2 linked regions of the Struthio camelus genome follow. The protein of the gene in region 1 interacts with the protein of each later gene in a pairwise test. Links are inferred from orthologs where the notes say so. Each region holds a gene or a part of one and is shown in the gene's direction. Other genes may lie near its edges.

Region 1 (7,661 bases):
TTATATTCTTTATTGTTGAAACAGCTATGGGAAGTTTTGATGAGTAACCCTGAGCTGGAAAACAGATGAAAACATTGATCCATCCTGTAGCTTTTTCTTTTCAGTTTATATGAGGAAGGTTAACAAACCAGCAGAACAGGCGGAAGAGGCCATTTCAAGTTTCCCAAAGGAAAAAGAAAGAAAGGATAGAGGTGTAACAGGGTGTCAAGTGCTGTGACTGGAATGGAAGGACTCAAGGAAGAACTTAAGGAAGACCAGAAAACAAGTTAAACTGCACGTCTAAGCTTCAGACTACTTCGTAACGCCCAGAACCCTACCTCTGTAATGAGCCAGTCCCCAGATATGTCAGCATGAAAGCTCTACGAAAAGGAAAGTTTGCAGTAAGACAGTATGGCATCAAAGTGACCTATCATCAAATTGGGAGCCGACAAAAGGTACTGCCTATGTATTTTGTGTGACCACAAAAACACCATGGGAAACCTACAAGAGAAAAAATTGTTACCACAGCTTATAAAACCCTCAGCTACATTCATTAAACATAACTAGCCGAAATAGCTAACATATTAACCCATCACCTATGCAACTCTTGATCTCTCCTTTACCCCTTCACCCTTCTCCTGCTTTCTAATACCACACAGAACTCCTTCAACCTCCAAAATGAGTAGTAATCCTAGAGCTATTAATATGACAGTTGGTAGCCCCTTCTTGCTTCTCCTAACCTCACGTGGATTCCTTGACGTATTAGACCTAATACCTGAAATCACGAAGTTTGTAAGACTTCTTTAAGTACAGTTTTTCCAATTGAAAGCTGAAGAAGTTCATAATTCCCCCATACCATTCTTCTCAGCTCTAGGATTCGTCCCTCTTGTTTGTCCTACACTATCCTACCTTCCTAATAACAATTAAAATATTGTAACTAACTCAACCCAGCCATTTTGAGGATAAGCCTGGGAGCAAAGAAAAGGAGTCTGAGACTTCCTGATGTGAAGAGCACTGTTCTCATTAATACTTGTAATTTGCTTGTATTACTAGATTAATTATATTTAATTGTTTAGCTACTGATCTAGCACCTGAAATAAACTAAGCATTTTACACACCAGAAAATTATCTGAGAAATTAATGTTGGTTAGAAGCAGGGGGGAAATGATTTTCAAAGTAACTTATGACATAATAAAACAGTAACTAGAAAATAGTCAGGGATAATCATGCAGACTTGGAATATATTGCAAGATAAGGCGTCCATTTAGTTAGTTAATTTCATGGTGTTTTGAAAAACACATTATTTAATTAATGTTTTCATTGAGGGAATACTTTGTGGCTATTCATGAATATATACAAAATGCTGTGAATTTTCCATGTTTCCATCAGAAAAAAAAAAAAGGAACTGTCGTTTCTTAATATATAATAATAATAACAATCCAATATTGAGACATTAACTGAAATAAAAGACGAAATTAAAAGCTGACTGCCCTTTGGAGCCAGTGTACTTTATCATAAGTCATTTGGCTGCCACGGAGACGTAGCTATTGAATATGCAGGATGAAACAAGGCAGCCATTCTAATGGAATAAAGACGACTTTTATCTCTGGGTCTCCAGCTAGAATAATGTGATGGTGGCCTGTGATAAACGAGCAGATGATATGAGTCCAGTTGTAGGACACTAACCCCAACGCACCCCCAAAAAGAGGCTCGCAACTTACTGTCTCTGGGGACTATATGAACCTTTGAATTCTTGAAGTACTTTTTCTAAGTCATGGCTGAAAAACATTAGCAGTTCAGGATGGAAAGGTTGTTTTTCAGCTGCCAGATCCTCCTACATGCTCTATGGATAACTAGAAGACTTTGACCTAAAGTCACCTTGTCCTAGTTTCTAATTCACTTTTATGCAGATGAGATTACAGGATCAGGGCCTAGGTATCCAAACTGGCAAATACTGTCAGAAATGAAAATCACAGGATTTACTCATCTGAGCTACCACACTAAGTTTTCTTTGCAGGATCAGGCTCATCCTATAGAATGAAAAGAGTGAATCTCTCTCTTTTGTCAAATGCACAAGAAGCAAAATGAGCGATACTGATAAAAAAAGGATGTGCTAACCCTTGTAAAATGTTTCTTGAAACGACAGTATGTACTGTTTTCAGCCTGAAATGCCATTCTCAAACCATGAGTGTCCCTTTAAGCAAAAAATATACGACTAGGAAGGAAGAACTAAGAGAAAGAAGAGAGCAGTTAATGAAACACTGGCCTCACTTTTTTTTTTTTTCATAAATTATATCCCAAAATGTTTTACAAAATCAAATAACAGGAGGAAAACAGAAAAGATTTTTTTATTTTTGTAGCACATTTCTTTGGCAAATGCAGGATAAAGCCTATCATGTGAATTGAACAGTAAATGAAGGCCTTATGCTTTATAAAATTATCCTATTGTCCCAATAAGGATGACAGTTAAACACAACAGTTTCAGCAGTTTCAAGTCTCGTAAATAAAATTAGCAGATTAGAATCAGCAGACTCTTTGGCAAAAAAATGTAAATACTTTTTTTTGTACACAAAACTAATGCACGCTACTGTTGCATTTCAGACCTGACTTCTCTGTATCATAGCAGAGATTAACTGGACCCAAATAATTTAGCAAACAGTGTATGACATCTACCTACCTTTGCTGCTTCAGCAACCACCCAAAAATATATAATGTAGGATTTTAAATAGTATGTTAGCCCAGTTTCCTTATAAAAGTCTTACAGTGAAGTTTAGAAAAATTCCAAAAGTAGCGTATTGATTGCCTCTGGGATTTTCCACTCAGCAATTTAATAGAAAATTACACCCTTACCCAATCTATGAGGTTTCCATAACCTCCCTTATGAATTTAATTTTCCTGGGTCTAATAAATTTTACCATTAGGCATGTTTTCTGAGATCGCTTCACCATTAAGCCTATTTCCTGGTTGCTTTTTTGGAACCGGGTCTACTTTCTGCTGGGTGTTTGGGCACCACCTCGCCCAAGAGAATTCAGGTCTGACTGGAGTCTATATTGATACAAATAATTACTGTTAATAGGCAATTTATTTTCTACTTACGAATTTTATTTCCTTATTCCTAGCGATGGGCTCAGGCAGTAATACCAAAGCCAGCGGCATTTTCCTATGGGCTTTGATTAGACCATGTACAAATACGCACTTAACTTCTGTTCAAGTAAGCGCGTGCGGATATCCCACACTCTTCTCCTTGTCATAGCCCAGCCTGACTATGTTTAAAACACAAAGTTATGTTTGCACCTGAGCTTTAGGTTATCCGGAGCCTTCCTCTAGCAGCAACGGCCATAGGCGCTGCTGGCTGTAGAGAACCTACAACAGAAACAAATTTAGCACCAACGTAAGTGAAATAAGTGAATCTGAAATACAGCTGAAGGTGCCAAGCGGGGAGTAAAGTAAAGCACTAACTTCAAACCGCTTACGGGCGTCTGTACGGCCACGGTGGACCTCCTAGACGGTGGCCAGAGGTACTAAACGTTACTCGGTCAGCAGAGACTCCCCGCTTTAGGTCGGTGTTTAACCGCCTTGTGTGAAAGCTGCCCCCGGGAGGAGAGCCGCCCCGCGAGCCCCGGCCGGGGTCGGGGTCCGCTCCAGGTCCCCACGAGAGACCGTGCCAGGCCACGTCAGCCGGCACCGAGCTCGAACGACGACGCCGAAACGCCGTCACCGGCGTTCATTTCGCCGCCGCTTAGCCCCCTCCCCGGGCGCGCTCGGTTTGCGCCGCCAACTTGCGCGGCTCCGACTCCGGCTCCGGCTCTGCCCGCCCGAAGCGGCCCGTGCGGGAGGCCGGGGCGCAGCGGGGAGCCGGCGGGAGCCGCCGCCGCCGCCGCCTGGCCAGGCCGCGGGGGCCGGGCGGCGGCGCAGGCCGCGCGCCGAGAGGCCGCCGCTGCTTCGCGGCAGGGCGCCGCGGCGGCCTCCGCCGGCCCGAGGGGGCCCCGCGGGGCGGGCAGGCGACCTGCAGCCGCGGCGGCGGGGCACGGCAGAGGGAGCCTGTGAGGGCGGGGAGGCGGCGGCGGCGGCAGCGGCGGCGGGAGGGGGGGGGGACACAAAATGGCGCTGCCCTGGCAGCCCCTCTCCCGCCAGTCACCCTCCGCCACCCCCGCGGAGGCGCCGCGGGGCCGCCCGCCCTGCCCTGCTCGCCGGCGGGGGGGGGCCCCGCGGCGCTCGCCGCCGCTGTCTCCTCCTCGGCGTGGCGTGGCGTGGCGTGGGGTGGCGGCCTTGCGGCCGGGCTGGCGGAGCCCGCCGCGGGGCGCGCCGCCTTCCCCCAGCAGGTGGCACCGGGGTCCCGGCGGCAGCGGTGAGCCATTGCGGGCCGCCCTTGGCCGCCGGCCGCGCGCCCGGCGGCGGCGGGGGAGGCGGCGGCGGCGGCGGCGCTGGCCGGCATCGCCCCCGCCGCGGCACCCCGCGAAGTTCAGGGGCGGCCTGGGCGGGCGGGCGGGCGGCCGGAGCCGCGGGGAGGCAGCGGCGGCGCCGCCGCCGACTCGTCCCGAGCTCTTCCCCCCCCCCCCCCCCGCCGGTGCGTGCGGCTGGAACCGACATCTCCCGGCGCCCGTTTTGTTTTTTGCTGATTAAAGAGACGGACCTTGGTCCTGCTGCCGCCGCCGCTGGGTGACGGGCTGCGCGGCCGCCCCTCGCCCTCCTCATCCCCGCTCTCCTTCCTTTCTGCCTCCTCCCTCCTGCCCGCACCATGGAGTTTACGGAGAGGAAGAGAAGCAGGAAATCCCAAAGCTTTAAACTGATAAATCAAGGTAAAGTGGCGGCTTCGGGGACGAGCGCCGGGGGGCCCGCGGCGGAGCCTTTGTTTTGTTTGTTTGTGGCTGAAAAAGACTTTTTATATTTTTTTTTTTTTAACCTGAACGGCGCTGGGTTTCGGAGGGGAAGAGCAGGATGTTATGAAATGTGCGTGCTCCCTTCCCTCTCCCTCGGCAATGTCTCTCTCTCCCTCCGTTTATTTATTATTTAACTCCCGAATCGCGGGGTTGAACTCCCCAAAACCTTGCCTTTCTTTTTTTTTTTTTTTGGTGATTTTTTTTTTTAACCGCAACCCCAAAGGTGGACGTGGTGGTTTTTTTTTTTTTTTTCCTACCCCCCCCCCCGGGAGATCTTATACAAATAAAGTTGGATCGTATTTCATTATAAATCCTCCGGGGGGAGGAGGAGGCGGGGGGGGAGAGGAGAGGGAGAAGAGAAAGGCGAAATGAAGAAAACAGCAAAATAATGACACTTGAGCAGCGACGGACCTTTTTAGTATTCAACTCCTGTGGATTTCTTGCGCGTGTGTGTGTGTGTCTGTTGATTTTTCTTTTCCTTTTTTTTCCCCCCCCCTCTCTCTCTCCCACCCTCCTCTGGACTGCGTCCGCACGCCTATCTCAAAGAAGAGCCTAATCGGGGTGGCTTTATTAAAATCCACGCGGCTAATTAATTGTCCGTGGGCGAGGAAGGTTTGCTGGCGTGCAACTTGTTCGCTCGGTGCGCGGCGGCTGGGCGAGAAGAGGATGTTTTAGCGGGGATCGCTAAGGAAAGGTTGGGATTCATGTCGGGGAGGACGCGCAGCCCTCTCAGTCGTGTCCTTTTAAAAGAGGCAGCGGCTGGTAGTCATTTTAGCAGGTGGACTTCCCAGCCCTAGGGTTTTCCTTTTCCCCCCCCCCCTTTTTTTTTCGGGGGGGGGGAGGTTAGGTATTTATCGCTTAGGTCTTTTGCCCTCATTGATTTGCCTGAAGATCTTTTCCCTCCCTCCCCCCCCTTTTGTCTTTTAAAGTATTGAGCTGAAATATCTCCCATGAAATGCTGTGTGTGTCCTGCATGCCAAGTTCAAGGCAGGTGACTACTTTGGTGTCATGTCACACTTATAAAAGGGGGGGGGGAAGGAGGCGAGTTTCGATACTTGCTGGCCGAGGAGCGATTTCTTCCTTAGGTGTTCGGCAAGCTCGCGTGAGACGCGGAGAATTCGAAAGACGAAAATAAACTCGCTTGATGGGAATGACAAATTATTATTTTAACATTGTAGGAGAGTCTTGAGCACTGCATGCGTTACTTCTTAGAAACTAGAGGGATAGCAACTGGTCAGACACGTCCCAAATCTACTGGAGTGCTTATAAGCACAAATGTTGACAAACCTATTGGGGGGGGGGGGGGTTACATTCCTAAAAATAATAGGTTTGGTTTGGAGGGTGTTTTTTATTTTTTTTTTCGTTTTTTTCTTATTTGTTTGTTTGCTTGCTTGTTTGTTTTGGGTTTTTTTTTGCATCAGATGTTCTCCTGAATCACCTTCAATGCAGACTTTGTGCAGCGTTGGGCTGGAGCAGGGGGAAATGTGTGGAAAAGCAAAAGTGAAATTGAAGATTTGGTTTTGTTTTCGTCATGATCGGACTGTAATAAGAACAGCGTGCGCTCTGAAAAATGTATTGGTATTTTGCAAGTGCTCCGTTGCCACTTGTAACGGTATAGTTACCTTGTTATAAAAGGGAAATTGGTTGGAATTGTGTTAGTAAATTATTAGTAATTTATATTTTTCTGGGGTTTCTATTTGGCTGTAGAAATTTAAATAGAAAAGCAGACCAAAAGCAAATCCTGGAGAGCAAATGTGGGTTTTGTACTTTGAGAATGGAGAAGATAAAAATGACATTTTAGCAGAGTCTGCTCTTGCATAGTTTTTTTCCTGCCGTGGTTGATTATAAAGATAATTATGTATAAATAGTTGTTGCTTGTAATTGGCCTTTGCCTCTTGCTGGAGTCATTTAGTAATGTCACAGTTTAGTGTTTACTGTTGTGAAATTGAGATGGATTTCACAGCCCCTGGACTGTGACATCTGAGGCAGAAGAGGGAAACCAAAGAGAAAACAGTATGCTGGGTTTGTTTATTTGTAACACACGGTCTGCTACTGATGTGTGTGAATACAGTGCTTGTTCTGTCCCCCAAAACTTCATGACACCTTATCAACACGGTGAAATTATTTTAACTACGATATACAAAGGAAATCCATTGCTTCAGTAAAATGTAGCTAACTCTGGGATGAAATGGGGTGACTTTAAGATAGCAGTTACAGATCAGAAAATAAGGGTGTTGTGACCTGCTGGATATACAGAGGGAAATGTTAGAGAAGAAACCACACATAAGCAATGCATCTAAGCACCGAGAATCTGTTAGTCGTTTAGTACCTAGCTTCCACATACTCACTTCTACCAGATCTTGGAAGTCCTTACTGAGGATGAAAAGGTAGAGAAAAGCTAGCGATCATTCAATGTGGTGTGCATAAATTCTGTAATTTTTAGTCTTACAAAAGGGGCTTATACTTTCTTGATGTTGTGTCTCAACCTTCACCTTGGCCCTTTCTGCACCGGGCAGCCTATGGATTTCACTTGCCCTCTGTGCTCCATGCAGCACTGAAGCCCCAACTTTATCTTTTGGGCTAGCCCCTCGTTGCTGACCTCTCTACCTTCCCCCCCCCCCTTTTTTTTTTCCATACACAACGATGTTGCTTTCCAGGCCCTTTTATTTCTTTTGCGTTGCTGCGTTATACTTGACTCTGGTTTTCTTCTTGGGCTGTTCTTCCTCCCCACTCTTATATCAACGAGACAGTCATGCCGTACAAATAAATAATACGTACCCAAAAAGTTGGACTGCCAGGAGA
Region 2 (8,140 bases), on another chromosome or scaffold:
CCTGGGATGTCATTCAGGAAGTCTGCTTCTTAAGCACTACATGCACTTTAAAAGTATTGAACTAACGGAAAGAATGCCATTTAATGATTTTTTCTGAGAAGTGATTACATTTGTGGCACCCAGCATTAAACGCTATAGAAAAGCTTTGACTAAATGCAAGAAATCAGTAAACCAAAAAAAGAGACACTAAGGGGAAATAAGGGAAAAAAGGAAATTAAACCAATCTCATAGATTCTGACATTTTCTTTATTTCAATTATTCTGAAATCTTTTTGCTGATTCTGGACCTCTGATTGCTTCAAATGCATGAGGAAACTTAGAGAAAGTGCTTATATCTACTAATTTGCAAAGCCTCTCTTTGGGGTTCCCAACAATTCAGAATCGGTGAACAATTTCAGATTTTTTTGCCAATTTCACTGCAGAAATTATACGGCAAAACAGATTTCAACATCTCTGACTTAGAGTCTACTGCCTTAAGATGTCCTAAACTGTACTTTCTTTTTTGTAAAGTTCAGTAAAGCATTAAGAATACAGCAACTGCAAAGACTGAAGTAACTATATGCAAAGTTAAAAAAAAAAAACACTATGATGATTGGGAGGCTCCCTTTTGGTAAGGCATTCTTCTTCTATCTTACTCTTCTAATTCTTCTATCCGACTTATAATTGCTCTTTTTTGCCCTTTTAAAAACAACCTACAAGTAGTAGCCAAACACTCTAAACAAACGTATGGTAATAAACTAGTTTTATACTCATAATAGACTGAATGCTCCAAGACGACACATTTCAGTTTCTAAGCTCCACGATATAAGACAAATTTTTGTAATTTCTGGAAAATAAAATTTCATCATACAGTATACCTAGAATAATATCCTACTCATAGAATATAAAAGCTTGGGAAATTTACAGAGGTACTTTGCTCCTTTAACTATGAAATTTAAATACCTTGATTGCTCGGATAAATCGTGCTTGCAGGCGTCTTCCCAAAAACAGCAGGTTGTCTATAGCTAAAGGAAGAAATTTCTTGTAAAATTCCTCAGGATCTTCTTTCACCTCTAGTCCCACACAACAATGACTGAAATGAGAAACACAATCCAACCTGAATAGTCCATGGCCTGTCTGAACAGCTTTGAATGAATGTCATGTCATCACAGAAGAAATGCTTGACTGGAATGAGATAATTTAGCACTGAACAACAGTTAACTGCTGTGACTAACTCCAAGGTAGCTGCCTTAGAAGGAAGAGGAATCACTGTGAGGCTGGAGACTGCAAGGATATTACTACTTACTACAGCATGCCAAGTCACTTTCCCCTTTAGTGTCACAGGACCTGTGCAGGTCTGTTCAGCATGTTAGTTAGGGGCTCTGATGGTCATCAGGAAAAAGAGTAAAATAGAAAGGCAGACATAAACCTGATAAAGTGGATGCAGACCAGGCAATGAAAATATGTATAAAAAAAATCTTCAGTGATTCTGCCTATAACTTTCCTCTACTTGAGGAATACATGTGGGCTAGAAATCAGTTCCTCAGATCTGAGTTTTATTATTTTACCTACTACAAGCATATTGGTCATTTCTGGAAGACAGTTCACAAGAAACTGCTCTGCAAGTTTCACAGTTGGGAGTTTTTTCACTCTACTCTGCACTGACACTTGTGCAACAAAAGAGTTTTCATAACTTTTCATGGATTTTGTTTTCTGACATATTATCTGAGCTGTGTTAGCTTGTTGTGAATGTGTAAATGTAGAGCTTTGCTTACTGAAGCCCTTGGAAAACAAATTCTAGGCAGAGGAAGCTGAGATTCCTGTAGTTGCAAAAGGATATTTTTGCAACTAAAATAAATTTCGTTTTTCTCTGCAAATTGAAATAGCTTACAAGAGATGCTTTAAGTATCATACGGCCCTGGTGATAAATCTTGTATTTCTTAGTGAAATTCCTAGCACTACAAATTTGTATTGCAGATATGGTATAAATACAAGATGGCTGTTTAATTTTGTCATGTCTTAGAACGTTGCTCCCTAGTTAACCCAAAATCAAGTACAACTTGGGGAAAACTTAAAAGTTAATTATTTTTCCTGACATTTAAAACTGAGATTAGATCATGGGATTCAAGTTAAAGTTGCCGTATTTGCTAGCTATGAATTAAACTACATTATGATCTTCTTAATTAAACCACTACATCAAGCTATCCGGTCTGTATTAATTGTATCCACTATTACATTTAAAATTTAAATAGATATGTTTACTCAAGCCAAGCTATGAGTTAATCAGGCTGAAGATTTTTACAAATGAATTTTAAATAACCAATTTTTTAAATAACTGCCCTTCAAAATTAGCAATTACTCAGCAAATATTGTGACATAGAAGAGTTCTGTTCACAAAAAAGGGTAAACCCAACACATACTGGTGCCACCAAACAGTTTGCACAGCTCAGTGCAACACAATGGAAACGAATTAAGCAGGACCAATTAGGCTGTGCCTGACCCCTTTGCTCTTGACTGCTCCCTGCACTTTAACCCTGGCCTTTCCTGAACAGCAAGCCTTGTTCTGGATGTGAGCCAATGCATTACAGCTTGAAAAGAAAAAGAGTAAGATGAAGGCCCAGAAGAAACAAGAAGAAAACTTCGGAGTAATTTTTCTTACCTTAGTATCTCTGCTAGCTGGGCAGCAGTAGTCCAGCCTCCCTGTAGTCGAGAATAGTCTTGTCTAAGGACCAGCATGCAGTACTGAGTAAGATCATAATAGTATATTTCTTGCTTAATTTTTTTTGATTCTTTACATCCCAAGGAAGCACTATTTAAAATTGCTGTGGGAAGAAAGCAGGAAAATGGCTAGGAGGAGCATATGAGTCTGACAAAACAATGCATTTTTTTTTTCAAAACATAAGATAATATGTGTACACACACTAGGATCAATGTAATTCTAAAAGTGGTAACATAAAACATTTCATCAGCATTTTTCACTCCTATGGCTACAATGTATTTGTTAAATTATATGACAATTAGGAAGGACAACCAAGTTTAGATTTCCATTTTCTCATTATACATTCAAGTAGTAAAACATACATTATCTGGGATGTATCCCACTCGTATGAATTTCCTAGGCCAAGTAAAACCACAATGAAAAGCCACTGTGAAACGTATAACCTCCTCGTAATTACATCCCCATTTAGAACAGGACCTAACTTGTTGCTACCGTTTCTATGGGCAGCGGATATGCGTCCAAGGGGAGGGTATGGGGACTCACGCAGGAGCTTGTGATTGTGTTTCTGCATTAAGACTTAAAAATTGCTTACTAACAATCACTCTCAGCCCCTCTGGCTCTCTACCCAAAAGCACTGGGAGAAATTATTTAACCAAGCATGAGATCCTTGCCACATTAGCACAGGCCTTACAAAAATGGTGACAACGGAGAGCGACAGAAGAGCTGCCTCCATTCCCTCTCCCTCTCATCCTCCCTTGTGCTCCCAAGCCAAATGCTACTCAGGTACAACTGTCAGGAGAAGCTATATTACCAAGCCTATGGAATTTCCAGCCCTGCTAGATATGTGGGGAAAAAACTTTCTGAATTTAACCAGACAGAAGGAAAAAAGCCTATCCATACTTCACTATCTCATCCTTTTATTTTAGAAAAGGTATTAATTACCCTTTAACTGCAGAAGCAACACCGGGACGTCCTCATCTTTGCTCTCGGTGACCTGAGCAGCCAAGGCCAGCACCCTGGGGTCCGCGGCTGCCGGCCTCGCGCTGGGTGCGTTGGCCATAGCAGGCCGAGAGGGGCCCACAACACCAGCAGCACAAGCCCAGCTCACTTTTTAATTGTTTCTGCGTAGGTTTGGGGTTCCACCACACCACCAGCCGCTGCACCACCAGCTTGGAGCTCGAGTGCTGCGAGTCTGCCCCCGAGGAAGGGGACACGCCGGGGAGAGGGGGGGCTGCTCTACCGGCCTCGGGGGGGGGGCTTGCCCCTCCCCAGTACCAGTCAGAAAGCCCCCGCGGGGCGCGGACGCCACGAGTGGGGCTGGAGCCGCGGAAGGCCCCAGCTGCCCCTGCCGTGCAGGCCCGGAGGGGCCCCTCCGCGGCCGCCCCTCGGCCCGGCCGGCAGCGGCGCCTCAGAGCCGCTCCCTCCCCCTCCACCCCCAAAACGCGCGAGGCTTCGGGGCCGTGCCACGGCCGCTCTAACGGCCGCGCGGGGCCGCTCCCACTTCGGCCGCGCGAAGGGGGGGGAGGGGGAAAGGGGAGAATGGGATGGCCGGTCCTAAAGAGGCGGTGCCGCTTCCAACCTCCACCCCGTCCTCTCCCCGCTGGTGGTCGCGGCCGCTCTCCACCAATCAGGGCGCACCCTTGAGGGAGGAGGGATTATTTGCATATCCGCCTGAGGGCTCGCCCCTCCAACCGTCCCACTCGTGGAAATCTACAGAGGGCCGCCTCGAGGCCCGAGCCCAGTCCGAGCCCGCGCCGCTGGTGACGAAGCTCTTGAAGGGGAGGAGCTCCGCCCGCGGCAGCTTGTGAGGGCTCGGGTGGGCGGGGCCTTCCCCAAGAGGCCGCCACGCCCCTTTCTCGACCCGGGGCGGGGGCAGGGAGCGAACGGCCAGTGGGGGGGGCTGGGGGGCGTGGCCGGGCGACGCTAAGGCCCCGCCCCCCGCGGCGCCGAGGGATGTTCCGTGGCGGCGGCGGCCGGGCCGGTGCTCGCCATGGTCTGAGGCGTGCGGCGGCGCCGCGATGAACGGGGCGGCCCCGCCGCTCTTCGACCCCAAGGAGCGAGTGCTGAAGCTGGGCGAGAGCTTCGAGAAGCAGCCGCGCTGCGCCTTCCACACCGTCCGCTGTGAGCGGGGCGGGGGGGGCGCCGGGGCGAGCCGAGCCAGGCCAGGCCGGGGCGGCCCCTCCTCCCTCGCCTCACGGGGACCGTTGGTCCCGGGAGACCGTTGCTCCCGGCATCGCCCGTCCGGCCCCGGTGTCGAGGGGGCGGTGGTCCGGGCACGGCCCGGCAGCAAAGGGGCCGGAGGGTGGCCGCGGCCCGGCGGAGGGGTTGGGGCGGGCCCGGGAAGCCGGCGCTGAGGCTGAGGAGGCGGCGGCGGAGGGTGGTGTTGGCCCCCGGGGGAGGAGGGCTGCGGGGCGGCCATCCGGCGGCGCCGGGTGCGGTGAAACTCCGGTGTTTGTCTGTGTTGTGGTGCCGGCGCTGGGGCCCGCTGAGGTAGGCGTTGTGCAGCCGAGCAGGAGGAAACGCTTTCCCTCGAGGAGCTTATCTTTTAAGTAGACAGGTTGTACCGGGAGTGCGGCAGAAGTGGGCAGCTGAAATACAAGAGAGCTGTAGCTAAGGCCCAGAAAGCTGAAGTGACTCGCCCGAGTTTATCTGCAGGCCCTGAGGCACACCTGGGAGCAGAGTCCCTGCTGCTTAGGTCTTAGTCCAGGGTCCTGAGCAGTGCGGTGCTGCTCAGGTTTCTGTTGCTCCAGAGGGCCCTGGAGCTAGACCAGCAAGCAAGCGTGTTGCTGGTGAGGTGTACTGCTGTGGTGTGCAAATACTGTTCCTCACTTCTTTCAGGGCACCAACTTGTTATGCTTCTTTTTGCACCTGCAATGGTGCCTTGATGCAGTTCTGCCCAAAACTGAATGGGGCTGAAGCTCTGGCTTTGTGCTATTCCCTTGTGCTTAGTTTTCAGGCACTCAGTAGAAATCCAGCAATCAAAGGTTAAAGGCAGTATTAATCACAAAGCTAGAATACCCTCCCTGAGTACATAATTATTATCTAGGGAGGTGTGTGCTCAAAGATTCTGAGGGTAGCTAGGAAACAAATGCTCTTAGGATTATAGTTCTGGTAATTTAGAACTGCTGCTTCTGTTTTTGATGTCTCATTATTTATAGACTGATCTCCAAGGTTCAGTCTCCTGTATATTCTCTGGATAACGTCCTGTATGCTCTCATACAGTGCAGTGAGATGGGTAATGTGCTTTCTGTGAGCAAACACAAATGGCGCTCGGCAGAATGGTCTGCAACTGTGGGAGGGAAGGGAAGGGGCAAAAGCTATAAGTGGGTTTAAACAAATGTGGTAACTTGAAATTTACCCTATTTCAAAGAGGACTAAAATCTCTTTGGATACCTCCTACCCTTAAGATTTCTTGCTGACTCTTGTAATCTGATGATTTATTCTGAAACCTGTTTTGAAATCTCTCTTTTAGGCCAACAAATGAGACAGAAACTGGCACATCTGTCAGTGCTGTCAAAGGCACATACATAAATATCTTTCTCGAACACCTGAGTCTTTTGTTACAGATGAGTGAAGAGGCAGACATCTGCTGGTTAAAAGTTAAGATTTGAAGTGCACATGTGGACACTGAAATCGGTATTTCAGTTTTCTAAAGTTTTGACCACCTGGTGGCTATATTTAAAGGCAAAGATCTTCTCTATTTCCCTATGAGAAACTCCAACTGTCTTATGCTTATCCTTGTAAGACCCTGTTTCGGGTTTTGTCTTCAACATTAGGTTAGTGTGGGCTGTTACCAGTGTCCTAAGCTCAAACCATTTTGCTACGTGCATATTCCTTGCCACCAGCTCTGGAAGGTTGTTTTTTTTGACCAGCTGGTGTATTAGTTGGAGCTGTGCTTCCTAAGCTGTGGTCTGTGCCAACTGGCCAGTGGGTTACAAGCAGGATTGTTTAACTGGGAAGCTCCCCAGTTGTAACAGAGGGCTGCAGCCTGGGACCAGCAGCGCATGGAGCGACAGGTTGTGTGGCAGAGAGTGTGCTGTGCTGCAGCTGGGGACGGCGCTGTCTATGGGTTCCCTTTACATGCCTAGTTCCTCTGTGTCTCTCCAGCTGTAGCAGGTTGTCTCTCCAGCATGCTACTCAAGGTACTCCTAGTCGTCCTCTGGTGTGACTGGCCCTGTGCCAGCTTGCTGGAACCACGTTTCAAACGTATTTTACGATGCCTGGCAAAGCCTCTTGATGCTGTCTTACCCTTGCCTAGCTCTGTGCATGCTGGTCTTTCATAACCTAATTCTTCTGTAGTGGAAGTAATACCTCAGAGGTAGTGATATGTTACGTAGTTACAATGCTGGTGCTGGAATGGATGTTCGTTTTTCGTGTCTCAGATTTCTGAAAAGGACCAGAAACTGATCTCTTCTTTTGTTTAAAGCTTATTTTAAGGGATACTTTAGATGTTGAAAAAGATTTTAAAAAAAGGAAATGAATATTTATTTGGGGAGTAATTACAGTATTATTATTTTGGTCAAAAAATGGAACAGAAGTCTTGGTAGGCTTCTGATGTGCCTATTATAGTAATCTGCAATGGATGCTGTAGTCAAATATTGGGGATCCATGTTGTGCTTTGCATTTTCAGTTACTTTTCTACATCTTCCATGTTTGGACTGAAATTATATCAAGAATTGTTTCTTGTTTTTCTGAAACTAGTAATGTGAGGGTTTTCTGTCTTTTAAGTGTAACACAACTAGTTCAGTCTCCTTATCCATTAAAAGCTAAAAGTGCTTTTTTAGTTTTTACCAGAAGATGTTAACACTTAGACTGGATATTGACTTTGAACTCTACTGATTTGTGGAATAATCTGATCTAGGGGATGGTAGATAATATGCTAGCGAAAAAAAGCTATAACTTAATAGCCGTCAACTTCACAGCTTTGATGTTATCCAAAATGTGCTGGTGTTTAAAAGATCCCTGAAAAGCCTGTAGATAATCCAGTTGTGTTTTTTTTTTTTTTTTAAGATGACTTTAAGCCGGCATCTATTGATACATCCTGTGAAGGAGACCTTGAAGTTGGCAAAGGTGAACAGGTGACAATAACACTGCCAAATATTGAGGTGAGTTAGCTGGCTGAAGAGTAGTTGGCATAAGGAAATGACTTATTTTGTTGTTATAAGGATATATTCAATACAGAAGGGCATGAAGTTTCAGTGCTGTTTCAGAGCTGCCTTTGTAATCTTTAAAGTATATAAAAGCAATTGCTCTAAAAATTTGAAATTACAAAAGATTTAAATGTTAAACAATTGTGCTGTGACTTTAAATGTATTCACTGTATTGGAAATATGCTGTAGGATGACCCTGGAGTGTTGTGTACATAGAAAAGCTCCATGTGGATGTTGGCAGTGCAAGTTTTCCCTTGGTATTTAGTGCAGTTCTAAAATGGGAAAGACTGGAA

What was found.
Region 2: the proteins of BEND7 (region 1) and EAF2 interact in binary tests that used the Homo sapiens proteins (3 or more experiments, as listed by UniProt). The two-hybrid records come from large-scale screens. The link is inferred for Struthio camelus from reciprocal best matches to the Homo sapiens genes BEND7 and EAF2.

Annotation. Positions count from the first base shown.
Region 1 is NC_090942.1:7,978,915-7,986,575, reverse strand, and holds the start of BEND7 (BEN domain-containing protein 7), read left to right. Parts: upstream 1-4,479; 5' UTR 4,480-4,717; coding exon 4,718-4,778; intron 4,779-7,661.
Region 2 is NC_090947.1:33,111,087-33,119,226, forward strand, and holds the start of EAF2 (ELL-associated factor 2), read left to right. Parts: upstream 1-4,592; 5' UTR 4,593-4,715; coding exon 4,716-4,818; intron 4,819-7,707; coding exon 7,708-7,802; intron 7,803-8,140. Other genes in the region: IQCB1 (IQ calmodulin-binding motif-containing protein 1), read right to left, coding at 942-1,071, 2,638-2,800, 3,640-3,757. UniProt on the Homo sapiens protein: Acts as a transcriptional transactivator of TCEA1 elongation activity. Acts as a transcriptional transactivator of ELL and ELL2 elongation activities. Potent inducer of apoptosis in prostatic and non-prostatic cell lines.